Linked DNA regions of Ovis aries. The protein of the gene in region 2 purifies or fractionates together with the protein of the main gene of each other region. This does not show direct contact. Links are inferred from orthologs where the notes say so. Each region holds a gene or a part of one and is shown on either strand. Other genes may lie near its edges.

Region 1 (15,686 bases), on a different chromosome or scaffold from region 2:
ATGAACACAGATACAAGTGCAAACAATTCTGCAGGAGATACCAGCAAACCCAACCCTGCAACGTCAAACATGGAGTATGTCCAAACTAAGTTGGGATCATCCTGCAAGTGAAAGCTTGGTTTGATATTGAAAAGAAAAAAATCATTAATATTCACTACATGAACAGATTAGAGGAAAAAAGCTCTAAGCCATGTGTCTACTCCTTTAGAGTTTTTAATCTAGGTACCTTGTTAAAACTCACCAGATGAAGATTAAATGTTCCAAAAAATTTCAACACCTAGCACGATAGGACCTCTTCCCAGACTAGGCATAAAACGGGACTTGCTCACCTTGCTAAGCAGACCCTGTTAAAAGCTCCACAAACATCATATACTGTAGGGAAAGGTTGAAATAATCCTCTTTCAACAACCAGGAACAAGAAAAGAGGGCCTGTCTTCGGCTCTTTACTCAACACCCCACCAGAAGCCCCGCCAGCAGCAGGCAGAGAACAAGACACACGACAAGGTGGGGAAGGAAGTGTCATGCAGGCCTGGTCTCTAGCTGACCACCTGTCCATTTAAAAAAGGAAAACCACTTAAAACCAAGCTTTATGCAAATTATTACAATTAATAATATTTTAGGTTTGAAAAAGTTAATAGATGGGGAGTAGAGACAGATTTCTTAGCTAGGACACAGAGCGCAGTAACTAGAAAATGGATGAATGAAGGCTTGAGCAAAATTAGAAACTCCTGGTCATCATAAGACACTATTAAGAAGATGAATTGGGGAAAAAAAACAAGATGAATAGATAAGCCACAGACTGGGAGAAAACACTCACCAGATGTAGTATCTGGAGTATATAGCCCACTTCCCTCGATATTGTGATATGTGTTAAATGCCACTGGTTAGTACACTTGAACGTGGTTAAAAAGGTCAATCAAAAAGAAAAAAAAACCACTCTACAACAAAACAAGAAAAGAATTCAAGATTGGTAAAGGCTTGACCACATACTTCACAACAAGAAAAATCAATGGTTACTTAACACACAGGAAAGTGGTCAAGATGACCAGTTGTCACAAAAATACAAATTAGACCACAATGAGATCCAGCTTGACCTTCACCAGTAGGTTGTAATCTGAAAAAACTAACCCCATCTGGTGTTGGAGGTGGTGTGGAGGAAACACTTGCACCAGGGTTCACAGCAGCCATAATTCCCAACAGCCCTGAGCTGGGACACAGTGAAAGGCCATCAACAGGGGATGGACAAGCTGGATATCTACACAGTGGGACACCTACTCAGCAACACCAAGGGATGAGCCAGGGGGATTCCCTGGTGGTCCAGTAGTTAGGACTCCACCACAGGGGTTTGCGGGTTTGATCCCTGGTAGGGGAACTAAGATCCTGCAAGCCACGCAGGGGGCAAGAACAAAGATTACAAACCAAGAAAAAAGGGATGAGCCAGTGGCCTACTCAACACAAGCAATTCTCAGAACCAGAATGCTGGACACACAAGGCTCAACACCCTGAGTTCATTTAAGGGAAGCTTTAGAAAAGGCAAAGCAGCCACAGTGACAGAAGTGAGAGTCCACAGCAGGAGGTGGACTGGCTGGGGAGTTGGAAACGTTGCCTCTGGTTATAAAGGTCAGAACCGATTGGACAGAGAAGATGTCTTTCGATGTGTACGAATGTTGCCTACAAATAAAAAGACTGAAAAGAACAACTGAGCAGACGGCGGGCGGTGCTTGCTGTTGACCATGTGAAACTTTCCAAGATAATGGCAAGTGTGTGAAGACAGCAACTGTGAGCAACAACATTGTCATCCCACGAAGTCACCCAGTCCCTTCTCTCCAGGCCGGTTTAGCTGCCATAGCCACGGCTACCTGCTTGCTTTTGGTGACCTGACAAAGGAATTCTCCACTCTGGGTGGAAGAGGTGGTGAGCCTGGGCATGGCCTGGGTGAAGAGCAGGTGCCCTTTTATGCCCCCTGCCCTGTCATCAGTGAGGGCTGCTGGGCAGAGCTGCTAGACTCGCCCCGGGCAGGAAAATCACCTCCAGGGGTGAGGACCTGAGTCTTCAGGGCAAAATGACCCTTTAAGAGTCATGTCAGCACTGGACGCAGTCACATCTGTGGACTGTTGCAGAGAGGAGCCGCAGGACCAGAACCGATTGCAATCTGCACCCCTAGACGGGCCATGAGGACGGTAGTTGGGGAGCTACCAGGTGGGTGAGTCCTCCCCTGGCTGGGGGCGATGGGGGCCACTTTTGAGGCTAGCATGCTCAATCCCCATTTGTGGCTTCACCCTCTGTCTCCTGGGCTGAGCCAACATCTGCACGTGGACAAGTCTGCTCCGGCCCAGGTCTTGGCTAGTGCCCAGCCCACACGGGCCAGTGTCTCTCCGCCACCTCCGGGCTCTAGCGGAACCTGGAGTGCTCCAGTGGGTGGTTCCCAAACCAGGGTGCCCTGTGTTGCAGCCCCCGCCCCCTGTCTGCCAGCCACTTAGAACTGATTGCTGAAGGCTCTGGAGCAGGGCCCCCTCCTGCCGGCCACCTTCCCTGGGAAGCCTGGAGATAACAGCGCCTCAAGGTCAGTCACTGATCCCTGGCTGGGGTCTCCCTGGAGCCCAGCTGCAACCCCTGTGGCCCCTCTCCTCCCAGTGCCCAGCAGTGCCCGCTTTCCGCTGACCCCTCCTGTTGCGGGGCTCCAGCAGGAGAAGCCATCAGTCCCCTGTCGGCGGGCACCTCCTGGCCCAGAGGAATGTTTGCTTCCGGTCAAATTCCAGTGGGTTAGTGTCCTGTCTGCTGAGTCACGGTGCCCTACACCCGACTGCCCTCACCGGTCCATTTGGGATTAGCAAGGGGTGGAACCTGCTCGCCTTGTTCAGCTCAGCCCTGCCACCAGCGGCCTGAGTCACTCACCCAAGGGAGGAGTGAGGTAGGACCCAGACGGGGGTGGGGGCACAGAGGCCTAGGAGGCCCCCCTACCCAGCAGCCTGGGCCTGGTTGCACTGCTGGAGGTAACATGGGCTGAGAGCACAGTGCTCGTGGGGTCTGGAGGAGTCTGGGGCCACGTGGTGACTTAGCAGCAGGAGCAGGGCCTGCTGCAGATTTCCAGCCACCTGCATCTGGCCTGCCAGCACCCTGATCTTATCTCAAGTCTCCAGTTTGATGAGCCCTTGGTCTCGAAGGGTGTTAGGGTGGAGCACGTGACAGTAGAAGTTGGGAGGCCGGGCAGGGGTGGGCTCTATCCCCCTCGAGGCAAGATCTGCCTGGCCTCCCTCCTGGGCCGCGGGGCTCATGACTCATCAGCCCTTTGGGGGAGCGCCAGAGTCACCGTGACACAGCAGGAATCTTATCGCCCCAGGAGGTGAGGCGGCCCAGAAGCACCCCCTGAGGAGAGAGGGCCCGGGTCCTCCAGCTCAGCCCTGGCAGGACCCCGTCTCTGGGCTGGGCCCTGGAGCACTCATCGAGCCCATGGCCCAGATGGGGAAACTGAGGCCCAAAGGCAAAGACCGCCCTGCAGAACCTGCACTGAGCCACTTCTGCCCGAGGGGGCTCCTCGGCCTGATCTTTCTCTCATCTCAATCGCTCTGTTTCCATTGGGGGTTAGAGTGGCTCCAGCCTGGCAGGCCCAGGGTTCCTCTCTCAACACTGGTCTGGAAGGAGAAACGGGGTTCCTGGGTTCCAGAGGCCTCCAGACCAGGTCCTGTAAGTACGTCCACTGCCCTCCTACTGAGGGTGGGAGTCTGGAGGAGGGAGTAGGGAGCGGCTGCAGCTACAAGGCCATCAGGTAACTCCTCAGGCTGGCCTTCGGACGGGGCGGAACCTGGGCGCGTGGGTGCGGGGTTGGGCAAAGCCGGCAGGGAGGAGAGGGGCGGAAGACAGCTCATCCTTTTTGGAGTCGCAGGCTCCGCTCCGAGGCCCTGGCTCTGCGGACCTTGGCGCCTCCCAAGGCCTGGGGTGTGAAGGCCTGGCAGTGTTTGCTGTCACATGCACTCACCTTCAGGCCCAGCCCCCAGGCACGGCTCCCACAGTGGGGGGGTGGGGGGGCCTCAGGGCAGGTGCCTGCTGTGCTGTGAACTCCTTGGTCTCCCAGAGTAACAGGTTTGTGCCGCCTGCCTGCCTCCCACATATCCCAGCAGGAAGGGGAGAAACAAAACAACAGAAAAAACAGGCTCTACTTCAGAGGCCCTGGTACTCCCCCACCCCCCGCCCTGCTGGCTGCAGCTGGCACTTCCTCTTTCTGCCCTAGAAGCCTCTGCTGATTGCTCTTGGAACAGAGAAGAGCAAAGGGGAACTACTCGGGTTGCAAAGAAACAATGTTGCCCAATGCCAAGGCCACCACACGTGAAGGCAGGGAGGAGTCACCAAATCAGCTCAGCAGAACCCTGGGGCCCCTTGGTGCTCCAAAGACTTCCATTGCCAAGTGGAGACTGTGGGGTTGAGAGAGGAGGAGACACTTGGCCCAGGCCACAGAACACACTTGGATGCTCTCACTGAGGTGGTTTAATCGGAGTTGAGGATCTAGGGTCATAGGCAATTTACTAAGGCTGGGGACCCTCTGCTGGAATGTCTTGGGACAGGCTGGGATGGGGATGGGGGAAGGAGGAAAAATAATCCTGAGTAACTTTCTCTGTCAACCTATTTCTTGGACCAACTCCGAGGTGTTAAGCTTTCTGGTGCCTCGAGGGATGAGGCTGGGGCCAGGGTGGGGGCTAAGCTGCCCCCTGTGTGCCCCTCCTGGGCATCCTACAGTCTTGGGGTGATAAGACGGTCAGGGGAGAGTTTCGGGCAGCCTTCCCTTCCTTCCCAGCAGCACAGCCCTCCTCGCGCGCAAAGCCCCCTGCCCTGCATTCTGGCTCTTTTTCCAAGTTTTGACCAGAATCACACAACTGGCAAGAAACACGTTCTGCAAAGGGCGGTAGCTTGTTATGATACATGAATGAAGAGCTGAATTCCTCTAGAGCTGAGGGGAGAGGGGTGTGGAAGGGACAGAGAGACCATGCCTGCCCTGTCAAGAGCTCACTCGCTTGGCAGAACTCTCGCTTCAGGTTTATACAGTAAGTCACCACCAGAGATGCTCGTAATCCTGGGGAGCGGATTCTTGGTCCCGTCCAGGATGAAGAGTTTCCCTTTGAGATGAAACGTAGACAGCGTTCCAGCCGTTTCTCATGTCTTGCCACTGGGTTGATCTTATTTCCACGTGGCACATGGAGAAAGTGCTTTTAGTTGGGGGGGCCGGTCATGGCTCTCCAAGGACCCACCCACCCTCTCGTGTTCCACCCCCTCCCAACATGTATGGTCAGCACGCTCTGTTTCTGCCTTTGCTTCTAGTCTCTGGCCTTTCTCATCACAGCAAAGTGGCAGTTCCACTGGCTGGACAATGGGGCTGGTCTCAGCTCCTCGGGAGGCCTTGGAAGTCGGGGCAAAGAGATGGGGTTTCAAGAAGGGTCAAGTGTGTGTCTTTGGGGACCGTGAGGGTAGACAGACAAGGTCGAGATCGGGCCCTGGATCCTACCTCTGGCACTGACTGTGTGACATCTGTCAAGTCAGAAACATGTTTGGAAAACACCCTTCTGGAATGGACTGCTTCCCCTGTTTACCTCTCTGTCTCCCCTGTGGAGGAGGAAGTCCAACCAGACAGTCCCGAAGGGCCTCCCAGCTCCAGACAGAGGTCTACACTCAATGGCTACACACGGACTTCAGAAATGCCTCATGGTGTGTGTATACTGGGTGGTAACAGGTTGACAGCGGCTCCTGAGCAGGGGCAAGAGCCCAAGGGGCCCAACTGCGAGCAGTTGGGAAAGCACAGGCACCGTGAGGTCCCTTCTGCTGCGTTTAAGCTGTGGGGCTTGGTAGGGGAGACTCACCGATGCACCCATGATGATAAAGATGTGCGTATCAGCCTGATGGAAGTCATCACCCTGGTACAGCTCTTCTCGCAGGATCCCGCACACCTGGGTCCGGCTCAGAGCCACCTGCTCTGCCATGGCGCTCTCTAGTGAAAGAAAAACTCAGTTGACAAGGCAGGAGCTGAGAGGAGCACTGAGAAGCTAGCCCCTTTCTGGAGGAGTCCTTTGGGCTCTCCTCCAGCAGATGTTTCATTACTGAAACCATTGACTGTGAATACCTGGGGAGCAGGATGTTCGGGAAATTAGAAACTGCTGGCCCTGGGCTCCGGCCATCCTCTCTGGGCAACCTTCTTCTCTGTTGTATACTACAAAATGACCCAAAACATTACTGGATTCTTACTAGGGCCTCAGCTCTGGGGCGACTGAGTAAAACGCCGCTGGCGCAGCGTACGATCTGCCTAAGACCATGTCACCCAGGATGCAGGCAGAAATTCCACAATGAGCTGGAGCGTGCGAGGTAGTGCAGCCGATGGGAGTGTCGCTCCAGCCCTCCTCCTGCCACGCTGGGCAGACCCCCAGCAAGTCCCTGGCCCTCTCCGTCTCCTCGGGGGGTCCCATGAGGGCAACGCAGGGTACCAGATTGGTTAGGCCCTCTGGATTTTGCCCCGTTCTTAAGTTTGGGCAATCAAAGTGCCTCGTAGCGCCGCGACCGCCCACTCGGTTACCTGTGCTTCGTTGCTCTCGCCCGTCACACTCGCAGACCCCAAGTCCCCGGCCGTTTCCCCGGGCTGAGCCCCGCCGGCCCATTTAACCGGCGGGGGCGGGAGCCTGGGCTGAGCTGACCGGCCTCAGGCGAGATACGGGGGTGTGGCCTCCGCGGGCCCCTCCCTCGTGGGGCGGGGAAGGTCGAGGGCGCGGGCAGGTGCGTGCGCATCCCGGCCAGGCCGGGCCCCCCCACCCCACCGTGGAGGCCCCAGCCCTGGCCCGCCCTGCCCCTCGAGCACCTGCGCCGGCCGCTGAGCCGCGGGCCGCCTGCTGTCTCGGCTGCGGCTGTGCCGTGTCCCCGCTACCTCGCGAGTCCGCCTGCAGCTCCCCGCAGCTCGCCCGTGTCCCCATCCCTGGCCCGACCCCGCCCCTAGAGTCCGGCTGTCGGCGCAGGGCCCCGGGGAGGTTCTGCGTGCTCGCGCGGGCCTCCACTTCCGCCAGCTGCTTGACCCTGTCCTTCGACCCTGTTGGTGGGTGGGGTCTTCTGCAGCTCCGTCTCCTCGCCAGACCGGTCGCCGGAGCAGGTCAAATCAGCCCTATCAGATGACAGCCTCGTTGTGGTTCCAACCCTAGCGGGAAGGGGGACGGCCCTGCCGGAGAGACAAGGGGGAATGCAGGTCGCGACGCTAATTACTGGGGAATGCCCCGCCGGCCAACCGAGGCTTGGTGGGTTCAGGTTTCCGCTTTGGGCAGCCTCTCTCTCACCTTCCGCCGGCCGGCCAGGCAGGGGCGGGACCTGAGCATTTTACTTCCGGATCCGACAGCTTAGACACCGGAAGCCGGAAGTGAGAAGTTGGCAGAGGGAGAAGGGAAGGGCTACAGCGGAACTCGGACTTTCTCGGAGCGCCGGGGGTCCGAGGAACGCCCGGGGCCCGCCGTTCCCGCCCTTCTCACGTCGGACCGACTGAGCTGACAGGTGTGGCCCTCTTCTGAAGACAGGGTACCATCGGTGGGCGTTCTGCCGCCTCCGAAATCCCCTCCCCGGATGACCAGGCTTCCCCCTCCTGTTCGGTCCAGCCGGGTTCTGCTGCGCACTTCCAGAGCACCGGCGGAGGCAGGCCGATTGAGGACTCAGGTTACTTTGGCGGCGAGCGGGTTTGTTTCCGCCTCTCTTTCCTCCGCCAGCGCCGAGTCTGACCACACCCCTAGTTTGTGAATGACTCTTCTAGGTCGGAGACATTTTCTGTTCATCATCTGTGCATTTCAGGTTAAAGTTCTTTAAGAAGGCGTTAAATATGACTTGCCAGCTAAGTATCTCACCTCATGTGCATCATTTTGCTTCTTTGCAAAACGATGAATGTCTCCTGGACCTCGTATCATTTCTGTGACTTGAGGATGAATGGGCCATCCTGACATGTTAGAGGAACTCAGTAACGAAGCCGCTATACCTGGAGTAGAGTGAGCGAGGGAATGCTTAGAGTGGGAGCCGGTTTGATTCCTGGGTCGGGAAGATCCGCTGGAGAAGGGATAGGCTACCCACTCAAGTATTCTTGGGCTTCCCTGGTGGCTCAGCTGGTAAAGAATCCGCTTGCAATGTGGGAGACCTGGGTTCGATCCTTGGGTTGGGAAGATCCCCTGGAGAAGGGAAAGGCTACCCACTCCAGTATTCTGGCCTGGAGAATTCCATGGACTGTACAGTCCATGGGGTCGCAAAGATTTGGACACAGCTGAGCGAGTTTCACTTTAATGGGAGAACAGATAGGGCACGGCCTTGTAGGTAGTGGTAGGGACTTTAGGTTTTAAGCTATCGGCAATGAGGAACCATGGTAGGGATCCCAGCAGAGGAGGGATGTGATCAGAATCACCTTTCAGGCTGACTGGTCTGGCGCGGTGGGGAGAACTGACTATGGGGGCGGCACGTGTAGGAGCCGGGTGACTTTTAGGAGGTTATTACAATAATTACCTGAATAGTGATGTTGCTCTTATCATTTTATTGTGTAAAATTTCAAAGGCATAGAAAAGTATAATAGTCTAGTAAATTCAATGTACTCACTTCCCAGCTTCAACAGTTACCAACTCGTGGATATTTTTAATTCATACTCCTCAAAAACAGCTTCGTTGACATATAATTCACATACCTCGCAAATCACCCATTTAAAGTATACAGTTCACTGGTTTTTCAGTGCATTCACAGACTTGCACAACTATCACCATTAATTCCAGAACATTTTCATCACTCCAAAAAGAGACCCCATGAACTTCAGCCATCACTCTCACCACCCCATCTACCCCTGCTCTAAGCATCCACTAGTCTTTCTGTCTATGTATTTACCTATTCTGGACATTTCATGTAAATGGAGTCATAATATGTGGTCTTTTGTGAGTTGTTTCTTTTTATTAACATAATGTTGCAGCATGGGAATGTACTAGATTTTGTCTATTCATCAGTTGATAAACATCTGGGTCATTTTCACTGTGGCTGTTTGGAGTAATGCTGCTACCAACATTCCTGTGCAGACATGAGTTTTCATTTCTTTCAGGTAGATACCTAGCAGTTCACCCATTATTTAGAACCAAGTCCCAGACGCCATGTGATTTCTTTCAATAAAAGTTCCATGTGGATCTCTAAGAAATGACTTTGAAAGAAACATAGCCACACCAGCACTGTCACATGTAAAATAGTACCATTACCTGCTAAGTGTCATCAAATAGATTCTAAGATACATCTTGACAGGATTTCCTGATGAATCCGACGTGAGCTGTGAGACAGATGGGAATCAAGAAAGACTTGAAGGTTTTGTCCTGCCAGCTAGAGCATGGGTTAGCCATCTATTGGTAACAAGGAAGGCCATGAATGGAACTGGCCTCTGGGGATGATCAGGAGTGTAGTTTACCGAGGTTAGTTTTGAAAGGATGACTGGATATCCAAGTGGAGATCTGGCATTTGATGTGTGAGTTGGGCGTTCAGGAAAGAGTTCTGATTTGGGGCATCATTAGCATTAAGATGAGGGCTACAGTTTTGAGTCTGGATGGAATTAGTACTGGAGTGACTGAAATTAGAGAAAAAGTCCCAGAACAGAGCCCTAGGGCATGACCACATGAAGGGCTGGGTTAATGAGGATGGACCAATGAAAGCCTGAGAGAGAGCAGCCAGTGAGGTAGGTGGGAAACCAGTAGAGTGGGCTGTTCTGGAATCAGGGATCAGTGATCCATTAGATACTGCTAATGGGTTAGTAGGGTGTTCAGTGAAGCATCAGTGTAATAGTGAAATGTCCAAGCTCGTCTGGTGTTCAAGCCTCTGGCTGCAGCTCAGGCCCTACTGGAAACTTCTTTTGTGATTAGCTTCCTCTTCATGTAGCCAGTCTTGGGCAGGCCTTAAAAGGGCTCCAGGTTGATGCTGTCTGGCGTAGACTCCCTCTCTCTACTCCAGGTCACAAGAGAACACAAATGGCTCAGCCTTTCTCTGCCTCCCTGCCTTCATCTGTGAGCCCAGGCCCTGCTTTCAGATGTCTCAGTACACGTCAAACGTGGGATGATCCACTTTAGCCCTTCTGTTCCAAAGAACACTCACCAGGCTCTGAGTGATCTCTGTGAAGACCCTCTTACTTGGTGTATGGATTTCCTAGGGTTGCTGTAAGAGATAGCCACAAGTGGGGGCGGGGGTTTAAAACAACGGAAGTTTATCCTTTCCTGGCTCTGGAGACCAACAGCCTGAGGTCAAGGTGTTGGTAAGGCTGTGCTTCCTTCGAGGGCTCCAGGGCAGGGTCCTCTGGGCTTTGTCCAGCTTGTGGGGGCTTCAGGTGTCCCTGGGCTTGTGACCACATCCCTCCTGTCTCTGCCTGTATTTTCATGTGGCATCTCCTCTGTGTCTCTCCTCTTCTGTGTCTCATAAGGACACTTTTAGGGCCTTTCTCATCCAGGATTATCTTATCTCCAGATCCTTGATTTTATCGCATCTGCAAAGATCCTTTTCCGCAGTTTACAGTCACAGGTTCTGGGTGTCATAAGGTATTTAATAAGGTATGTCACATGGACATACCTTATTGGGGGTTATCATTCAACTCACTGTACTACGTGAGGGGCCACTCACCTCCACTCATGCTTGGAAGTGTGTGTGTGTAGGGTAGGATTCCCAGCATACCGACACATCCCTCCAAAACTAATTTTCTATGTTATTTCTCCTCTCTGGTGATGTTCTTAACTTCAGCTTACAGTTTACAAGCAGTGCTGAACCATGACCTTTCCAAGCCCCACAGAAGTGCCTGCACCTCCCTTAGGAATGGGACTATGTGCTACCTCTTAGACCAGAAAGCCCATGTTAGCATCTCTTTCCACTTGCCAGCATGCTCATCATTTTGCTTGAAGTGTGATGCCAGGACTCCTCGTCCTGCAGGGTAGGAGAATTCTGTATAGGTCTCTTCATATCCTACCCTTGCTAACTCTCTTTCAGGCCCTGACGTGTTGGATGAGCAGGCCCCCCTGAAAGAGTCCACTGTGTGAGATGGTGCAGCCGAGTGGTGGCCCGGCAGGGGACCAGGACATGCTAGGTGAAGAGTCTTCTCTGGGGAAGCCAGCCATGCTCCACATGCCTTCAGAGCAGGGCACCCCTGAGACCTTCCAGCGCTGTCTGGAGGAGAATCAAGAGCTCCGAGGTGAGGGCAACAGTGGGCGGGCAGCGTCAAATGTCTGGGGAGCAGGCCCTGCTGGGGGAATTGACCCCACTTACCCAGTGCCTCTGCGTTTTCTGGGACTGAGGTGGGCAGGCGCTCGAGAGCCAGTTTGTGGCTCTGGGTCAGCTAGCCTCCTTCCTTCATTTCCTGTGGGGTTCTCTGGAAGTGACTCACAGCTACAGAGTGCCATCCAGAATGTTTAGAGTCAGGACCAACACTGGGGAGGGGAGGGGATGGGAAGGGAAGGGCAGGGCAGTGAAGAAGAAGGGGTGGGCAGAGGGAGAAGCTGGGCTGCCCTCCCTCCAAGGAGCTCTGGAGCTGAGGTGACCTTTTTGGGTTGTCCCTGTCGGGCCAAGGCCGCCAGGCTCCTGTGTCTCCGTACTGATCAGCCATTGTTGTCATTCAGTCACTCAGTCGTGTGTCTGACTCTCTGTGACCCCATGGACAGAAGCATCAAACAATATACTGGAAAGGGGCGTGGCTACCCGAGGAAGGGCGTGGCTATTTAAGGGGCGTGGCCTGCTCCAGAAAGGGGTGTAGTCTGCTCTGGGCTAGGCTGGGGCTTCCTAGGAAGGGCCCGTGGGTGGCTTTGGGGAAGGGACATCTGGGCCACTGTGGGTGGACTGTCAATCGTCCCCCCTCCAGGTAAGACAACCAACAATATCCCCCAGGTGTCGTTAAATATGTTTCTGTGTTGGGGCCACATTGAGCTGGCAGCCAAGTTTGGGGCAGGGAGACAGTTCGCTCTCCACAGCTACATATGTGGTCTGAGCTCATCCCCAGGACAGTGGGGGCTGGTGGGGGCACCGTGGGCCTGAGGCAGAAAGCCCTGTCTCAGATCAGTCGCTCCCTTGTAGGGCTGGAGTCTTATGGGGACTGTGGTACGTAAAAGGAGGCTCTGGAGCCAGGCTCAGGAGCCATTGTGGTTCTAGCGAAAGAATGTTCCATCAGAAGGCCTATTTAGCTCATTGGGGGTTCTGAACAGAGAGGGGGCCTCCTCTAATCTAGTTCTGTGGTGGTTAGCACCTTCACAGGCCATGGATCCGTTTTGTCAGTACCAGTGGTGAGCTGCTGCTTGGCGGTGTCCCTGGGTGGGTGGCTCTCCTTTCCTCAGCCCTTGCTGACTGCCTGGGAAGAGGAGGACAAAGTGGTTCTTGAAGCTGTCTTGTGTACCAGGCACTTTGGCTGCTTTTCCATGTTACCCGTCCTGTCTCTGAGATGGGGATGCTTGTCCCCATTGAACGTGTACAAGAGGATGGTGAGGCTCAGAGAACTCGCCTGCTCCGAGACTTCTGGCCCTGCCCCCAAGACCCCCCTCAGTCTGGGGCCAGCAGAGCTCGGGGAAGTTTGCCCCCAGTCTGATCCTGAAGGCAGTGACCCAGGGGCCTGCTCTGACCCATGCAGAAGGCAGATGAGTTCCAGAGTCACTTACAAAGAACAAATAAACTGACATTTGACATTTTTTTTTTTTTTTTGGCCACACTGTGCGGCTTGTGGGACCTCAGTTCCCTGACCAGGAATTGAACCCGGGCCAGGGCAGTGAAAGCACTGGGTCCCAACCACGAGGCCACTAGGGACTCCCTGACATGTGTTTTTAAGTGAAGCTTTTGTGGACACTGGGGGTATGTCATTCGCGTAGCTGACTTTGAAAGTGATCGGCGAAACGAGGGAGTGTTGGGAAGACGTCCCAGTGGGGGAGTCCTCGGGGCGGTGGGGGGCCGCAGGCCCTGGGCTCATCTGGCCCCAGCTATCTCTGCAGACGCCATCCGCCAGAGCAACCAGATGCTGCGCGAGCGCTGTGAGGAGCTGCAGCGTTTCCAGGGCAACCAGAGGGAGGAGAAGGCCTTCCTCATGCAGAAGTTCCAGGAGGCCCGGGACTTGGTGGCGAGGCTGAGCCTAGAGAAGCGCGAACTGCGCCAGCAGAGGGAGCAGGCCCTACAGGAGGTGGAACGCCTGAAGACATGCCAGCAGGTAAGGACCTGGCTGCCTGCTTGGGGGCACCGGGGTGGGGGGCTCCCGGAGTTGGGGAAAGCTGTTGTCCTCCCAGTTACGGCATTAGGATGAGCAGCTGGCTGGGATATGGGTTGAAATCAGTAAAGATAAAGGAACGGAGGGCAAGTCCAGGAGAGACGGAGCCATGCATGAGAGTGTGCCCTCTGGGGACTTGTAGGGGTGGTCATTCCCGGAGGCCTGGGGCGCCTGTATGGCTCCCCTTAGGTACTTGATTTCTGGGTCCCAGAGATCAAGCTGGTACATGTGGCCCAGGGCCTGGCCAGAAATCACGCTGCTGGCAGTATAGACAGCCTGGTGGGGGCCCTTGGGGAGTGTCTCAGGTTTCCGGGGCTGCTGTAACAGAGTACCACAAACAGGGTAGTTGGAAGCCACAGAAATGTGTGGTCTGCCAGTCATGGAGGCTGGAAGTCCATGATCCAGGCGTGGACAGGGTTGGTTCCTTCTGAGGGCAGGATCTGGTCCAAGTCTGTCTCCTAGCCTCAGGTACCTGCTGGGAGGACTCTGTTCCGTGGTTTGCAAACACACTGTCACGTGGCCTTCTCCCCTCGTGTCTGGGCATCTTTCCTCATCTTATGAAGACACAAGTGTCAAAGAGCAGTTCATCCGGCCTTTAGGTAAAGGGGTAGGAACCGGTTTTGTTTGGTAACCACGGTCAGCAGACGAAAGCACCAGGCACCCTTCTGATTGGCATAGGGGTGCCGGTGATTTGAAGGGAGAGTGAGGTGGGGTCAGCGACAGGGTCTCGAGTGAAAACCCATGGTGGGTTGGTCAGGGTCAATGTGGTGAGGTCAGCAGCGTCCGTCCCCGGGGTCAGTTCTTGGATGTTACGATTCCATCCTACTCAGAGATGGGTAGACTCAGGCCCTGTCTTTCCTGAGGATCCCATTTCAAAGGAATGACTCTCAGGTCCCCGAGAAAGCCTCTCCTGGGTTGTTGGAGGTACACGGACATCTCAAAGGGCCAGAGCAGGGGTTCACATGTGGGGAGCCTTCTTAGGAAAGACTTGGAGAAAGGGGGGGTGCTCAGTCAAATGTTGGCTGGAGCAAACTACATTCTCTTGCTAGCCCTGTTTTCTCAGATGGGGACTCAAAAGGGAGCTGGGTCGGCCCAGGGTCCTGACCTTAGGCTGCAAGAAGTCACAGTAGAGCTTGCTCAATTGTCCGAGTCTTTTGTAGTTTTCAGGAGTCACTGGATCAGAGGCCTGCTCTCTTCCAGTGTGACCTCATCTTCACACCATTACATCTGCAGTGACCGTGTCTCTAGGTCAGATGCCATTGACATATACTGCAGGTTAGTTCAGTCACTCAGTTGTTTCCGACTCTATGCAACCACATGGACTGCAGCATGCCAGGCCTCCCTGTCCATTACCAACTCCCAGAGTTTACTCAAAACTCATGTCCATTGAGTTAGTGATGCCATCCAACCATCTCTTCCTCTGTCATCCCCTTCTCCTTCCATCTTCAATCTTTCCCAGCATCAGGGTCTTTTCCAGTGAGTCAGCTCTTCGTATCAGGTGGCCAAAGGATTGGAGTTTCAGCTTCAACATCAGTCCTTGCAATGAACATTCAGGACTGATTTCCTTTAAGCTGGACTCATTGGATCTCCTTCCAGTCCAAGGGACTCTCAAGAGTCTTCTCCAACATCATAGTTCAAAAGCATCAATTCTTTGGTGCTCAGGTTAGGCCTAACTGTGGGTTAGGCCGTGGCCATACCACTTTGGGGCCACCAGTAAAGCCACTACCACCCTGAACCTGTGCAGAAGGGAGAAGGAGAAGGCTGCTATTCTCAGAATGCCTGCAGAGCATCCACCTGCCCTGTACTTACGGGATGGGATGCTGGCTTCACAGTAGCGATCAGAGCCACTGCCAGAGCCCTATTGCTAGCTGACAAGTCTGACAGTAGTGGGTATTGGAGAGGCTATGGCTTCATGTTGCTGCTGGAAGCATCAATTGGTGACACTGCCTTGAAAAACCATCTGGCATTTTTTCTTCAAGTTGAAAGTTCAGGTCACCCTCACCTTGTCAGTTGTACCCCAGGTGTATACATAAAAGAAACTCTTGCACATGGACAGCAGGTGATAGGGGTAAGATGTTAACCCTGGAGAAACCAGAATAAAACTCATATACCATAAAATTTGTCCCTTGAAAGTATAGAATTCAATTGTTTTTAGTATAGTCTTAGAGTTGGCCAACCATCTCTTTCCTTTATGTAGTTCCAAAACCGCAAGAAGAAACCCCAGGAAGAAACCGTGTCCCCATGAGCTGTCACTCCGCAGTCCCATCCCCCCAAGCCCCAGGTACCTGCACATCTCCTGTGAGTGGAATCCTGCAATGTGTGGCTCTTGTGTCTGGCTACTTTCTCTCAGCATCATGTTTTTAAGGTTCATCCATGCTATAGTTTGTCCAAGTACCTCATTTCACTTTATGGCTGGATGATATTCCAGTATAGAGAGAGACTGCATTTTTTTTAA
Region 2 (14,927 bases):
TCTCTCAACACCCCGGAGCCAGTCTCTCCCAGTGGGGAACCCAGACCTGAGCCCGCCTGCCCAGAGGAGCTGCCAGGCCTACATCTTCTTCTTTTTAAAACATATTTATTTATTTGTTTGGCTACGCCAGGTCTTGGTTGTGGCACAGGAGATCTTTAGTTGCAGCATGCGGGATCTAGTTCCCCTAACAGGAATCGAACCCAGACCCCCTGCATTGGGAGCACAGAGCCTTAGCCACTGGACTGTTGCAGAAACCAGTAATCGAGAAACCAAGCACCACACTTGGAGAGTTGGAGAACTCAGGTTTATTACGCCGGCGGGCCCAGAGGAGTTAACACTCCAAGCTCTGAGCCCCGAACAAAGAGGTTACAGAGTTTTCATAGACAGACTATAGTGGGCAACACTAGCTGCTAATAGGCTGGTTGAAACTAAGAGAGGGGGATGCCTGACCTTTACCCAGACAGGCATGATGAAGCAGGTTTACAGGGGCTGAGCAATTGCAAAGAGCAGGACAAGGGTAAGGGAGATAAGGTCCACCTCCTAGTATTGTAAGTCCCCACGTTCTGAGACTACGTGACCTACGTGATCCAGACTTTGCAAGGAGCCAGCTGAGTTACAGAGGCAGAAGGAGCAAGAGGTGATATAAAATTTTAGCTTTTCCTCTTCATTCCCCCCTCTTGATGCTTCTATCACTCATTGTAGAAAGCATCATCTCATGTTTTGGTAGGACATTCAGAGCTCCCCATCATTTAGGGGGCTATATTGAGCTATTACCATTTGCAACTTTACGGATTCAATCCAAGAGGTTAGGAACTGGGTAATTGCATTGAGAATATAAGGGCCAAACAATAGCACTGCTAAGAGCATGATGAGAGGACCTGTTAAAGGGAGAAGCCACAAGGGCCCAGCTCCAGATATTGCTCTAGTTACCCCAGGAATTAGCTAGTTTTTCTCTCCTTTTTATGATTTGTTCCCTTAGCTGTTGGGCCATGTCCCTGACTATTTCTGATTGGTTTACATAAAAGCAGCATTCTTCATTCAAGAAGAGGCGGAGTCCTCTCTTTTCAGCTGTCAGTAGGTCTAGCCCGCTCCTATTCTGTGAAACCACCTCAGCCAGGGAGTGTAGTTGGTCCTGTAAGGACCAACAACAATACCGATTAGGGATCGAGGCCAGGGTTGACAGTGAAAATCCGTCGATATTTTGATAGCCGGATCCTCAGGCTTCCGCCATGCATTGACTAGCCAGCTGCCAGTGCGTGGCTGGAGCAAGGCTGAAGAATCCTCAAGCTTCTGTCAAACGTTGACTACTCAGCTTCCAGAGTGACTAGAGCAGGTCTCAGCGTCCTTCGTGGGTGAGGGCTGTTGTCTTTGGTACTGGACCTTGAGGAAGTTTTTGGGGTCCCGAGCTTCTTTCCAGGTGTCCTCATCACAGGAAGCTGCTGCCTTCTCGACTCGGTGCGGTGGATCCAAGGGATGGCACCTATAACTTTAACGGCAGTAGGGGTTGCCAGGATGACCTGTCCAAACTGGCTGAAGTGGGTTTTTTTTTTTTTTTTGTCTTATCTTTAACCCATGCCTCATCTCCTGGCTGATAAGGATGAACCCAATTGCCCAAAGGAATCGGTGTCCTTTCTAAGATTTCTTGGGCAATATGGCGGAAGACTTTTCCAGGGCCTGGAGGTGTCGGGACATCTCCAGGTCAGCTAGTTGTTGGTGGTCTCCCTTCAGCTTTTGTATCACTGGCGGTGGTCTCCCGTATAAGATCTTAAAGGGAGAATAGCCTGAGGACCTCAGGGTGCATTTACAGAGGGAGATGAGAGTGCAGAGAATGATAGGGCAGCTTGTTCTAGCACTGTCTGGGTGATGGCCAGGAGATATTCTTGTCGTACTACTATTTGGAGAAGCTTAACAAGAAGTTAAAGATATATGGCCCAAAGATTAATAGAAGTAGGAAAGCTGCTGGGGGGCTAGCCAGGAGATCCAGGGCCAGACATTGGTTTGTGACATTAGTGTTTCTCTAGGTAGGAGACGATGTAAGAATTTGGACTCATAAAAACCTTTACCTAAGAACATCTGACTATCTGGAGGCCTGGTTTTCCAGGGTTTTCCCAGAGCACGGAGTGTCTTATTTTTTGTCTCCATCCTGAACTCCTTTCAAGAGGGTGTTGAAGGTCAGCATCTTATAGTGGTCATAATGTAATTTTTGTAGAGGCAGCTGGCAAGGGCCAGCTTCCAGTCAGCAGGGCCCCTTCATAGCCACATATCTGACCATGTTTGGGGGGCATTTCAAGGTCATTGTGTCCCACGGTGCTGGGAAGGTTCATTCCCAGGTCTAACAAAGATTCCATTGACAGGCCACTCAATGTGTTGTCACTAGAACAGGCCTTGTAAGTAGCAAAAGTCTCTGGACCATACCTGTCTTACTAGCCTCTTGGTCCAGGAAAATATTTCCTCCTGTTGCTTCTTCCCACATCTAGAGTTACATTATTACAGTTATTGATCTCACATGGAACTGCATATCTGCATTTATCACAGGCTCAGTCACACATTTGGTAACGTAAGAAATAATCTTCTGAAACAAGCTACATAGAAAATAATATAGCTGGCAGTTATTAGTAAGGTCACAAGCAAGAATTTAAGTCAAGAACTTTCATTGGGTATAGCCCAGTATACCCCAGGTCATCTGACTCAGTTACATGATTATAGCCAAGTGTTAATCTCCTGGTTGTACATCATGGAGCATCTGACCTTTATCCAAAGACTGGTTACTGAGTTAAGCTTTAGAAACAATCTTAGAGTGTCCTTTTTAATAACTTAATTAAACCTTTTAGCAATATAGCATGACAAGGAACTATCTCAGAAGTGAGTCTTAGTAAGCACAGACCTTAATTAACAAAACTAGAATTTAAAATTCAGTGAAACATAATTTTTTCTTTCTTCGGAGAACTCATTGTGACGGCAGTAACACTGTAGCTAGGGAAGGCTTAATCCCATCAGATAAAAATGAGGTCTGTCAGGGAGCTGGGAAAAGCCCAGGGGCCTTCTTAGATTTCCGTAGCCCTGGCTCTTTGGTTTTTAGCTGTTGTTTATCCATTTTTAATTTCCTGATTTAGGAGCAGACTATTGCCATGTTTTAAGGACCTCAAGATAGCAAAAGTCTAACCGTGAGGGGTTATTTTTTTGTAGAAGCAGAATGAACTTTGTCTACACGTACCATAATTTTAAATAATGTTTATTTACTTTAGCAAAGTAACACAAAGATTTTAAAAACAAATCTAAATCACTTAAAGGCAAAGAAATTAATAATTTGTTATCAAAAGCTGCATTCTAAGAAAACTTTGTTCTCTAAACAGAGAGAAGACCAAATTCCAGTCTGCTACCAGCTTACTGTTAATAACAAAATTTGTTTAATCTGCTTAATCTTAGAAAGTCTTCTCCATAAATCTTGAAGAACTAGCAGTATTTTTCCAAAGGCATGAGAGTAAAACCATAGAAGGCATGTTTAGAATCTGAGTCTATTGCGGTTGACAAAGAAACCTGGTCCTAACACTTTAATATGGTAACTAGAATTATAACTGACTATATTTTTTATCAGGGCATATCAGATCTATATGAATTTCACATAATTTTAGGATATCTATATTAGTAACATCAACCATACAGTATAAGATTTTTCACCCCTCTAACAGTACTTCCCACATAATTGAACATGTCCAGTGAACCCAGGTAGCTTAGTAGCTCTTTGGGATGTTTCAGGGGCCCTCTGAAGCATCCCAAAGTTAGCTAGAAATCAAGTTATTTAGGAAGTTTTTCAATAAATGTCAAAAGGGTTTATAACTATATTCAGTCAGGTAGGATCATATAAGTTACTGTGAAATAATACTTATTTACTTAGCCAAAGTTAACAAAAGATTTCAAAGGTAAATACAGAACAATTAAGAGGTAAAGAAACTTAAATCTATTATTAAAAGCAGTTCAACATCTGAAGAAAGTATGTCCTCTTAACAGAGAGAAAGGCCAAATTCAAGTTTTGCATCAGCTTACTTTAAACTCATTTAGGTAAACTTAATTAAATTTACTTTAAACTTAGTCCTAACTATGCACAAAACTTTTTTTAGGGTCCACTTTCCACAAACTTTTTAATTACTTTCTATAACAGCCATCTGTAAGTCAGAACTTTCCTTTTCCTTTATAAAATGTAATTTTATTTCTTATACCTTCTTTATTAAAACATACATCCTACATCCTTATTAGATTAGCAAACAAAACATTAATATTAGATATTTAATATTGAATATTTCCCAGTTCACATGAATCTGAAATCTGTTTAGGTTAACTTTTCTTGTATTTAGAATTGTTTGATTTGTAAGCGCTTTCTTTTCTTTAGGGCAATTAAATTAGAACTCATTTACAACTTCAACAATATTATCAGAAAAAAACAAAAGACATACACTGAGACATACATAAATCCAGACAGACAGAGATCTTATAGTTCTCAGTGTGAGATTTAAAATCTCTCTTTGACTCCTTTTTTCTTCTTTGCTTGAAGTTCTAATTTGCCCAAGGCCGAGGTCTCAGGCAAAGTGGGCTGTGTATTTCAAGGACATGGAAAGGGTTAACTTCAAGCTTTTTCCTAGGCAGGCCTTTTAACAAGCTAGTTATTTTTAATCGCATATGCAAAAAGAATTGGTTTTGCAGTTTCCAAGAAGCAAAATTTCTCTCTCTGTTCAATCAGCAATCACACACTCATAATCATTCAGAGGCTATCACAATGCCTCCCTTCTCCAGAGTCCCCAGGTTTCCTTAACTGTTGCTGCCTTCCTGGGAGCTCCAAGGAGGTTATCAGTCACAATGCCTTCCTTCCCCGGAGTCCTGTCAGGGCTTGGCTGTCCAGAGAGTCGGTCAGAACACTGGTCCGAAAGAGAACCCGGAATACCGTCAAGTGGCGTGCCTCCTGTTGGTCTCAGGGTTCCTTCGCTCTAGCCAGGCTGAGCCACCCACCAGTCCAGCGGCTCGAGGGGCTGGCGTGCTTGGAATCTCGCTGGGGCCTCCAGAAATGTTACAGAAACCAGTAATTGAGAAACCAAGCACCACACTCGGAGAGTTGGAGAACTCAGGTTTATTATGCCGGCGGGCCCAGAGGAGTTACCACTCCAAGCTCTGAGCCCCGAACAAAGGGGTTACAGAGTTTTTATAGACAGACTGTAGCGGGCAACACTAGCTGCTAATAGGCTGGTTTAAGGGAGGGGGATGCCTGACCTTTACACGGACAGGCATGATGAAGCAGGTTTGCAGGGGCTGAGCAATTGCGAAGAGCAGGACAAGGGTGAGTGAGATAAGGTGTAGCTCCTAGTAAAGTCCCCACGTTCTGGAGACTACGTGACCTACGTGATCCAGACTTTGCAAAAAGCCAGCTGAGTTACAGAGGCAGAAGGAACAGGAGGTGATGTAAAATTTTAACTTTTCCTCTTCAGGACCACCAGTGCGAGTGTGTGTGTGGTCGCTTCAGTCGTGTCTGACACTTTGCAACCCCACGGACTATAGCCTGCCAGGCTCCTCTGTCCATGGGATTCTAAAGGCAAGAATACTGGAGTGGGGTGCCATTCCCTCCTCCAGGGGATCTTCCCCACCCAGGGATGGGCCCATGTCTCCTGCATTGGCAGGCGGGTTCTTTACCACTAGCGCCACTGGGGAAGCCCGGTAGACCACCAAGGAAGTCCCAGATCCCACATCTTCTGAGCTGAGCTCAGGCATACACAGGACCAGCCCAGCCTCAGACTTCGGTCCTCCCTCTGCCCTGCTCCTGACGGTACGACCCAGGCAGCCTACTGAGCTTCCATCCCTGCTTCCTCATCACTTATTTTGGGTTTCCAACAGAGACCGCAGCCCCAATTCTTCACCTCCTATGGACCTCATACCCCAGCTGTGTCCTAGAGGACGGTCTGAGCCCCTAGACCTATATTCCAGTTGGAGCACTGACTGCACCCAGGCGCTGACCCCTGCCTGCCCCCGGCCATGGCCCTGGACTCTGGGTCTTCCTGAGAGCCGGCAGCTCTCTCCATTTTGCAGCCTGGCTGGCTTCCTTGAGTGGCCCTGGCCCCCAGGCTCACCTCCATCACCATCCGTCTCCTCCTGAGGCCCCATGGAGCCTCCCTGGGCTCAAGCTGTGGAGACCCCCGCCCCGGCCTGGGTCTTGAGCTCGTTTGCTCTCTGGTGCCTGTGGTCACTCAGATGGCCCTCCAGGACTACTGGGTGCACCCAGGAAGCTCTATTTTTTTTTAATAATTTTATTTATTTATGATTTGGCTGCACTGGGTCTTAGTTGTGGCACATGGGATCTAGTTCCCTGACCCCAGATTGAACCCCCTTCATTGGGAGCTTGGAGTTTTAGCCACTGGACCACCAGGGAAGTCCCAGGTCTCTTCACTTCTTTGAGGCTTTGCTGCCCAGTTGCCAAGCAGGAGTAATGGCACCTCTTCTCAGGGCTGGCCTGAGGATTACCTTGTCAAAGGTTTGGCACCAGCTCTGCCACACATCAAGGGCACCGGCGGAGGAGCTGGCAGCCTCGAGATCGCTCTTTCTGACCAGACAGGAGGACCCAGACACACCCGTGGAAGTCAGGTCCATCCTGTTGCCAGCTGCAAGGGCGCGAGCCAGCAGAGTGAGGGTGAGACGCAGACGGGCTGACTCTGGGTCATGGCCCAGCAAAGTGGAGGCGTCCAGGAGACACCTGAGATGTGGGGGGTGTGCATGTCAGGGAGGCGGGCGGAAGATTTAAGAGATCAGAGCTCAGGGAACCAGCGGTGGGAGGGTGGGTGGACTGGGCAGCGCCCGGGCCGACAGGTCCAGACCCGCGCTGCCAGCTGGGCCAGCACCACCCTTATTCCAGGTGTTTATTTCTCTGTGGGCCTCCCTCCAGGTTCGGCGGGGCCCTGGAGGGCTGGGACCTGCCTTGGCTTTACGCCTGCTCCAGATCATGGTGTCCGAACATGGAGCCTGCACCAGGGAGTAGAGACTGGGAAGCTGGGCAGCGTGCGGGGATATGGTTGTGGGTGGGTGCTCAAGGCCCTGCCCTGCAGGTGCTGCTCCTTTCAGGAACCCTGGCAAAGCCTGGCTGAGCAATCAGAACAGGGTCTGTCTTGGCCACAGCCCCAGGCTCTAGGACCTTGTTGGTGGAGAAGACTGTAAGGTCTCTCAAGACCTTGAGCAGTTCAGACTGAGCTCCAAAGCCTGCATCTTCTTCCTCCCTCCCCAAGGTCTTCCCAGACCCTCCTTCATCAGGGAGAGTGAGTGGGTAGGAGAGGGTGGTGGGGAGGGCAGAGACAAAGAAGAGGGCCAAGGCAGGCGTGGCCGTTCCTGGCAGGGACAGGCAAGGTAGGCCCTCCTGCGGCCACTACTTCCCACATCAGGTCTTTGCCTCTCTCTTCCACCAAAACCTAAGCCACACCTGCTCATCACTCTCTGCGGGGCACTCTCAGACCTGAGGACCCAGGTCCCGTGCTGCCTACATGGGCTGGGCTGGGGGAATCGCCCCTCAGAAAGCCGCCAGGGGTGGCCACACCTCCCCTCCAATCTACCTGGTCCAAACCCTCTACGATGAAGTCAGGAATCTGAGCTCCCAGGAAGCCCTCTCCCCCAGCCCTGCCCTGTCTTCCCTCACCTGCCCCCTTGCCCAGGTGGTTCCTGAGTGCCCAAGCCTGGGTCAAGTGCCTCTCATAATTTCCCCTGCTCCCCCTCCAGCCCTGGGCGTTTTAACTCCGGTGAACAATCACTGCTTCTCTCTTAATGAACAAGGGGTACAGGAGGGCAGGGCTGTGCCCAGTGACAGATGATACTGCACCCACAGGACCCAGCCTGGGGCTTGGTGCCCAGCGGGCCCTCAGCAAACATCAAACCAGCACCAACCCTTCTTCCTTCACAAAACCAGCAGGGTCTGAGGCAGTGGCGGGCAGTGGCTTCAAACTTTATTTGAGAAAAACAGAAGGCAAACGTATCAAAAGAACATAGAGGTTTGGCGGGTGAGGATGGTCAGTGATGGCTACTTGTGGGGTGGGCCGCTGGGCAAAGGGCCTTTACTTGTTTGCCGGCTGTTCGGACTTTCCGGCTTCGGGGCCGCCAAGCTGGGCACGCGCCTGGAAGGTGACGGGAATGGTGATCTCGGCAGACTGGGTAGCTGACTTGGGCAACGGGGCCTCCACGGTGAGTGTGCCCTCAGGGGACAGAGAGGAGGAGACCAGGGTGGGATCCACACCGGGGGGCAGCCTGGACGGGCAAAGAGGGTGGACAAGAGTTACACACCAGGGCGTCCCCGCGCGCCCCTCTCCCGCCCGCCGCCCCCCAGATCCGGAGCCAGGACTCACGTGTATTTGCGAGTGAAGCAACGGGAAATGTAGCCGTGCTCGTCCTGCCTTTCCTCGTGTTTGCCTGGGAGGAGGGGGAGGGGAAGTAGGTCAGAGGAGGCGGGGAGGGGCGGCCTAGCCGCTGGCTCGCAGCCCAGCGCGCCCCACCTGCGGGCCAGGACTCCGGGCTGGCAAGACTGACGGAGGGATCTGGGTGCCCGAGACTGTCCCGGGAACTCAGAAGCTTTGGGGAACTCAGAAGCTTTTGGAAAGTTCGGGTTCAGGGGCTTGGCGAGTGGGGGGTGGGGGTGGAAGCGCGGCTCGGGGCAGGCGCACACGCCCCCTCCGCGGACCCGGGCTGGGAGCAGGGACCGTGACGTGGGGGGCATGGGGGGCAGGGCGGCGAGGGCGACGCCCTCTTCATACCGACTGCGGGCCCGGGTGGGTGGGGCGTGGCGGGGGGGCCTGGTCCCTTGGGGGCCAGGTCCTCAGGTCCGAGGGCTGGGGTTGAGGGGAGTCTCCGCTGGAAGGGGGCGTTGCTTTCCTTAGTGGAGACTTTTTAGGGCTAAAAGATCCCTTAGGAACTCCAGCAAACCCCAACTCCAGAGAATACAGACCAGGGCTAGGGCGAAGAGGCCGGGCCCCGCTCTGGGGGCTCCCCGCCTTCCCCCCCACCGCCCGTCCTCGGCTAAGTTTTCACTTTCCAGCGGCCCCCTCTCCCGGCTCCCCGCCCATGTTTCAACCCAGAGCTCTTCCCCGGGACCCGCGAGAGGCGAGGGGCCGGCGTCCCTGGGGCGGGGGCCAGGGGGTGCTTACCAGTGATCTCCACCACGCCGTCCTTGGTCTTGACCGTCAGCTCCTCGGGGGCGAAGTGGTTGACGTCCAGGGACACGCGCCAGCGGTCGGCGGTCTGCTGGATCTCGGAGACCCCGCTGCTGAGCTGTCGGCTGAGCGCGCGGCTGTAGGCGGGACCCTCGATCGCTGCGGCGGGCAGCGGGCGCACGTAGCCCGGCCATCCGCTGTGGCTCAGCCACTGCGACCACTCCTCGGGCAGCCGGGGCAGCCCGAAGGCCTGGTCGAAGAGGCGGCTGTGGGCCGGATACCAGTCGCGGAAAGGGTCCCAGCTGGGGCCCCTTAGGAGCGAGAAGGGCACTCGGCGCTCGGCCATGCTGGCTAGTCTGGGTGCGTCCGGAGTAGGCTCGGAGAAGCGGGAGAAGTGGCGGGCGCCGGACCCCGTAGCGCTTTTATGGGTCTCCAGCCGGGTATTTTTAGCAGGCGGTGTTTCAGGTCTCTATTAATGGCAATGACGGGCCAGGGGGCAGCCCCTCCCCCTGCATTCCCCTCCACTGCATACCGGGGCGCGGGGCGGGGCGAGGAAGGCCCTGCCCACATCTGGAACCTTCTCTTGTTCGAGAAAACAAATGACTAGAGCCTCGATGTCGGAGCACTGCCCACTGCTGGACGCTCGGAGGCCTGGGTGCTAAAGCGCTGGGCCTCTATCTGTGGACAGTCGGGGAGGACAAAGCCGAGAGGGAGAGAGAGAAAGAGAGAAAGAGGTCGAGCAGTGAGTCCCAAGGGGAGAGAGAGAGGTCGAGCAGTGAGTCCCAGGGCGCACAACTAGGAACTGGCAGAGCGAGCCAGGATTTGGAAGGCAGTGTGTCTGTGATATAATGCCTTAAGAAGCAGCGTGGTTAGGGCGGTCTCGGGAGGTAGACCGCCTGAGTTCACATGCAGGTTCTGCCACTCACTGGATGAACTTGTGCAAGTTCAGAGTCTTTTGCCTCAGTTTCCCCATCGGGAAAATGGGATGATGGTGGTGATGATAATGCTTTCATCGCTAGGTTGGTTTGAAGATTCAGCCTCAATGCAAGTAAACATTTTAGTCCAGGGTACACGATAATGAATATATTATCTATATTTATATATAGATAATATATATAGATAATATATTATCTATAATTATTATTAGCCCCTGAAGTTGAAGGAGGGGGCAAGAAGGAAAGCATGTATGTGTCCCTGTTGCAGAGGCAATGGTATGTGTAGGTTTGGCCATTTGCCCACTGAACCCCAGTGGAGTAGACTCAGATCACAAACCTTGAGGGCCAGTACTGAGAAGGGGTCAGGAAGAAGGTTATGGTCAAGTCTCCCCATTATATCTAGTTTTCTGGAGGAGCCCTAGACAGGGGAACTTGAAATGCAGCAACCTTGAATCTAGTCAGGGCTTTGCTGTTTGTGTGATTTGGGCCAATGCTCCTTTCCCTGTTGGCAGGTTATTACCTCGATCCTGTTCTGTTGAATATTCCCGCAGACGGAGAGGGGGCAATTCCTTCAAACTTGCTTGGAGCCTGAGGCCGGCCCCTCCTCCGATCTGACCGCCTGTGAGATCCACGCCCCCACTACCCGCTCTGGGAAAAGATGCTGCCCCTAGCTTCCTGCCATAATCCTAACAATCTCTCTCTCCTGCCTTCCTTCTCCTGACATGTGTCCTGTATCCCTCCTTTTTCAATGAGGAAACAGGTTTGGAGATGAGGTGATGGGCCTACAGTCTCCCGTAAGCCACTAGCAGAGGAAGGCTCTCATCTCTAGTGCTCAGGGCTCTTCCCCTGGTCAAGCTCCCACCTTGGACTCCTCTTGTTTTCTCTTCTCCCGAGACACACTCTGCTTGCTGCCCCCCCCCCCCCCCCCCAGCCCCGACCCCCAAGGGTCTCAGCTTCAGGAAGCCCCAGGCCTTGGCTCCCTGGCACTCCCAGCTCCACCCAACCCAGCTCTTAATGTCAGGGTGAGGTCAGGAGCCAGGGAGGGCCCTCATCTGCTCCCTGCCTGCCCACCTCGGCCCAGACTGGAGCCCAGGTGCCCCACCCTCGCGGGAGCTGTCACATATAATCACAGATGCTTTCAAGTTCAGCCTAGCCACGCTCTGGGTGGGGGCTGCCTGCCTGGCCGCCAGTACCTTGTAGACAGAGGCTCCTTTCAGAGCTTCCTTCGATTTGCCTGAAACCAGGGTGGGGAGGTTCCATCCCTGTTGCCCCAGCCAGAGGAAGTTGTGCAACCCACAGGGGTGGCATAAGACAGAACTTTCATATCTTACTTTTTTTTTTCCCCCACACCACGAGACTTGTAGGATCATAGCTCCCCAACGAGGGGATTGAACCTGGGCCCTTGGCAGTGAAAGCGTGGAGTCCTAACCATTGGACCACCAGGGAATTCCCCACGTCCATCTTTGGTTGGTCACTTCTTGAGGGACTCTGATCAGAGCTGCCAATCACAAGGGAGGGGACCTGGGTGGCTCTAGGTGGTGGTAAGAGGGGGTGAGCGAGGGAGAAACTGGGTTTTGGGGTCAGACTGGGTGGGGTGTGAATCTGCTGCTGTTCACTGGCCTGCTGACCTCGTTGAGCCGGCAGATAACAACACACCCATCTTTCAGGGCTGTGCTGAATCTATAACATGATAACTCCAGCGAAGAGCCTGGTGCTCAGAAGTGTTCATTGTTATAATAACAAAGGAGGAAAGAGGGCCTTTAATCTTGGATACTGAGGCTTAGATTAATGAGAAATAACTGGGTGGATGCACTTTACAGCACACTCAAGAATCTTATCAGGGTCTTATTTTGGAGATGAGAAAACTGAGTCACAACTGGCCTAAGGTCACAAGGCTGGTGATGGGTGGAAGGATTGGAACCTGGGGCCTCCTGCCTCTCCGGCCTGGGAAGTCCATCCAGGGAGGGCTGTGGGCTGAGGGGTGCAGCCCAGGGTTACCTGTGGGACAGGGAGGGTGGGGCCGGCCTCTCTGGGTTCACTTCCAGCCCTGACCAAGCAGAGCACCCTTCTTCCAGGGGACTGAGCTGCCTGGGGTAGCTTTCTGGGGATTAAGGGGATAACTCCACCCCCAGGGATTTCCCAGATGCCAAGGGGTTGGGGAGCAGGTGGGCACTGCCGGGACTCCTTAATCATAGGGTCCCCTCCCTTCATCCCTAGCCTCAAAGTCTGGAGTACCCTGCAGCAGCCTAGAGACTAGCCTCCCAGCCTCCTGGCCCTGTGCCGGAGGCCTCAGCCGCATTAGCCACTCCCTTGGCAGGCCTTTGCCAACTGCGGCTGTTCCAGCCCCTCCTTCCCTTGGCCCAGCCTCAGAGAAAGCTCGAGAGTGTTCAGGCAGCTACCGGAGCTCCCAGGAGAGGCCTGACAGCTGATGAATTGCCAGTCGCTGGGCCTGCTGGGAACTAAAAATGTGGGCAGCCGTAATTAGAATGGGGGTGGGAGGCACTGGGTCTCTCTGGAAGCATCTAGATACTTCTCCTGCAGGAGTTCATTTCCACAAACCCAGCTCCTAACTGAGCCTTTGGCTTCTGGCTGGCCTGAGGGGTCACCTCATCTCCACCATCTCTGAAGTGGGGGGAGGGGCGCCAAGGAGGGGCCAGAGGGAGGGCTGGGGTTCCATCCTCTTCTTCCTGCCCTGCCACCAGCAACAAGAATCCGTCAGGCTTGGGAGTCTGGGGACGTCCATGTCTCTGACTGTGACCTTGGCCAGGGGCCGGTCTCTATGACTCATTTGCTTCATCTGTACAGTGAGACCATCGGACTGGATGTTCTCGAAGACTCCTTCCAGCACTGGTGAATCAACAGATTCTCCTCCACTCTCTCCCTCCCTCCCCCGCCCCGTCCTGCAGCCCCTCCCCCCCAGGGACGGGCATATGGTGAGAGGAGACAGAGGGGCCCAGAGGATGCTGAGACTCAGAATCCCTGGCGGGTAGTGGCCATTGGCGGTGGGAGCCCGGGTGGCTGGAGCACCCTCATGGGCTGGGTGTCCTGAAAATCCTTTCCCAGGTGGAGGGGAGCTTGGCAAGGGAAGGGCAGGTGCCTGGTGATGAAGCTGGTTTGCTGAATATGCCCTCAGCTAAAGAGAGGCTGGGGAGGAGGCCAGGGTGCTTCCAAGAGCGTTTCAGAGAGGCATGGGAGGGGGGTAGTCAGCTGGAACCCCCAAATTGGGCATGAACACTTGTGACCTGCTACGCTGGGTCTGGGGCTGTAGGAGACAAATTAAGTAAAGGGGGCGGATTTGCCAGGACACAGGAAAGCCTTGTCCAGCCTCCTGGCTGCTGTGTGTGTTGGGAGGGAGTGGACAGAGGGGTCCCTGAGGCCCCGCATGCAGAGGAGAGGACTACTATGCCCCAAATGCCACATCTTCCAAAGGTTCCCCCACCCCTGCCCCCATCTCCCCTCCTTGCTACCCGATATGGAATTCAAGTTTCCTGTTTTCCTGCCTGCCTTCCAGTGTTTTTCCCTTTTCCCAAGGTCAGAGCAGAAGAGTGCAGGCTCAACCCTCTGGGGGAGGGATGGCAGGGGAGCAGGAGGGGGTGGGGTACCTCCCTGTCCTTTTCAGGAGAACAGGTGCCAAGTATCCAGCGAAGTGCTGAGGACGAGAGCTTCGGGCTTTCAGGCTGACAGGGACCCTCCCCCAGGGATCTCGCCTCTCAGTCCTGGCCAGTTTTGTATCCCTTCTGGCCCGGGACCAACCTGCAGTTTTTTCCCTTCTCTCTGTCGCCCTCTAGGGGTCTTCTTGCTGCCACCTCGCCGTTTGTCGCCACCCTCCCCTACAGTGGCCGAACCCCTCATTTCTCAGTTCCCTTGTTCACCCCTCTACTCATTCAACAAACATCGCAAGGGTGCCTGTTTGGGGGATGCCAAGATAAGAAGGCATGGCCTGGGCTCCAGAAGCTCACAGATGTAGGGTGAGCGAGACACGCCAAGAAATAACTGCATCAACAGTTTGATGCTCTGGGACTTCCTTGGTGGCTCAGAGTTAAAGAATCTGCCTCCTGATGCGAGGGACTCGGGTTTGATTCCTGGTCAGGGAATTAAGATCCCACGTGCCTCAGGGCACCTAAGCCTGCAAGTTGAAACTACTCAGCATAGACAGTCTCTGGGCTCTGCAACATGAGAAGTCCCCAAGGTGCAATGAGAAGCCTTAGCACTGGGGCTGGTGGACCGCAGATGGGGAGAGAGCAGAAATGAGCCGGTCATGTTGCACAGTCCAAGGTCAATGGGCAACACCCCCAGCACTGAGCAGGACATCCCTAGAGTGATGAGGAGGCTGCACTGAGTTTCAGCAACCCCTGTCGAACCCACAGGTGTTTCTGGATCAGATCACCCTCCATCCAAAGGTCCTGGTCACTCATCCCATTTTGCAGATGAGGAAAATGTGCAGGTCAGAGATGGGGGCTCTAGCCAAGATACAAGCTGGGAGCTGGCCTCGAGTCGGGGGTCTGGAGTACAGGGACCACCAGTAGAGGACTGAGCTCACAAGGCCGAGAGGGCACATGGTCCCCCAGCTAGTGGCTGGTGCAGCTGGGTGAGGGCACCCTGTCTGCCCTGGCCCTGCGTTCCCCCTGGGCTGTCACCTCCCCCCTGTGGTCAGCAGAACAGAGGCCCCCAAAGAAGTCCTATTGGAGAAGGAAATGGCAACCCACTCGAGTATTCTTGCCTGGAAAAGTCCATGGACAGAGGAGTCTCATGGGCTGCCGTCCATGGGGTCGCAAAGAGTCGGACGCAACTGAGTGACTAAACAATAACAGTGCCGCAGCAAAGACCCAGC

The links.
Region 1: the proteins of HSPB1 (region 2) and G6PD fractionate together in Homo sapiens (co-fractionation; 3 studies listed by BioGRID and IntAct, with this or other methods). This does not show direct contact. The link is inferred for Ovis aries from reciprocal best matches to the Homo sapiens genes HSPB1 and G6PD.

The regions. Positions count from the first base shown.
Region 1 is NC_056080.1:79,909,939-79,925,624, reverse strand, and holds the start of G6PD (glucose-6-phosphate 1-dehydrogenase), read right to left. Parts: upstream 7,332-15,686; 5' UTR 7,299-7,331; exon of another isoform or gene 7,184-7,298; 5' UTR 6,945-7,183; coding exon 6,833-6,944; intron 6,698-6,832; exon of another isoform or gene 6,636-6,697; coding exon of another isoform or gene 6,554-6,635; intron 6,194-6,553; coding exon 6,107-6,193; intron 5,975-6,106; coding exon 5,847-5,974; intron 3,685-5,846; exon of another isoform or gene 2,880-3,684; intron 2,564-2,879; exon of another isoform or gene 2,471-2,563; intron 1-2,470. Other genes in the region: IKBKG (NF-kappa-B essential modulator), read left to right, coding at 11,035-11,185, 12,951-13,174. UniProt on the Homo sapiens protein: Catalyzes the rate-limiting step of the oxidative pentose-phosphate pathway, which represents a route for the dissimilation of carbohydrates besides glycolysis.
Region 2 is NC_056077.1:34,783,714-34,798,640, reverse strand, and holds HSPB1 (heat shock protein beta-1), read right to left. Parts: upstream 9,558-14,927; 5' UTR 9,508-9,557; coding exon 9,156-9,507; intron 8,425-9,155; coding exon 8,361-8,424; intron 8,263-8,360; coding exon 8,073-8,262; 3' UTR 7,948-8,072; downstream 1-7,947. UniProt on the Homo sapiens protein: Small heat shock protein which functions as a molecular chaperone probably maintaining denatured proteins in a folding-competent state. Plays a role in stress resistance and actin organization.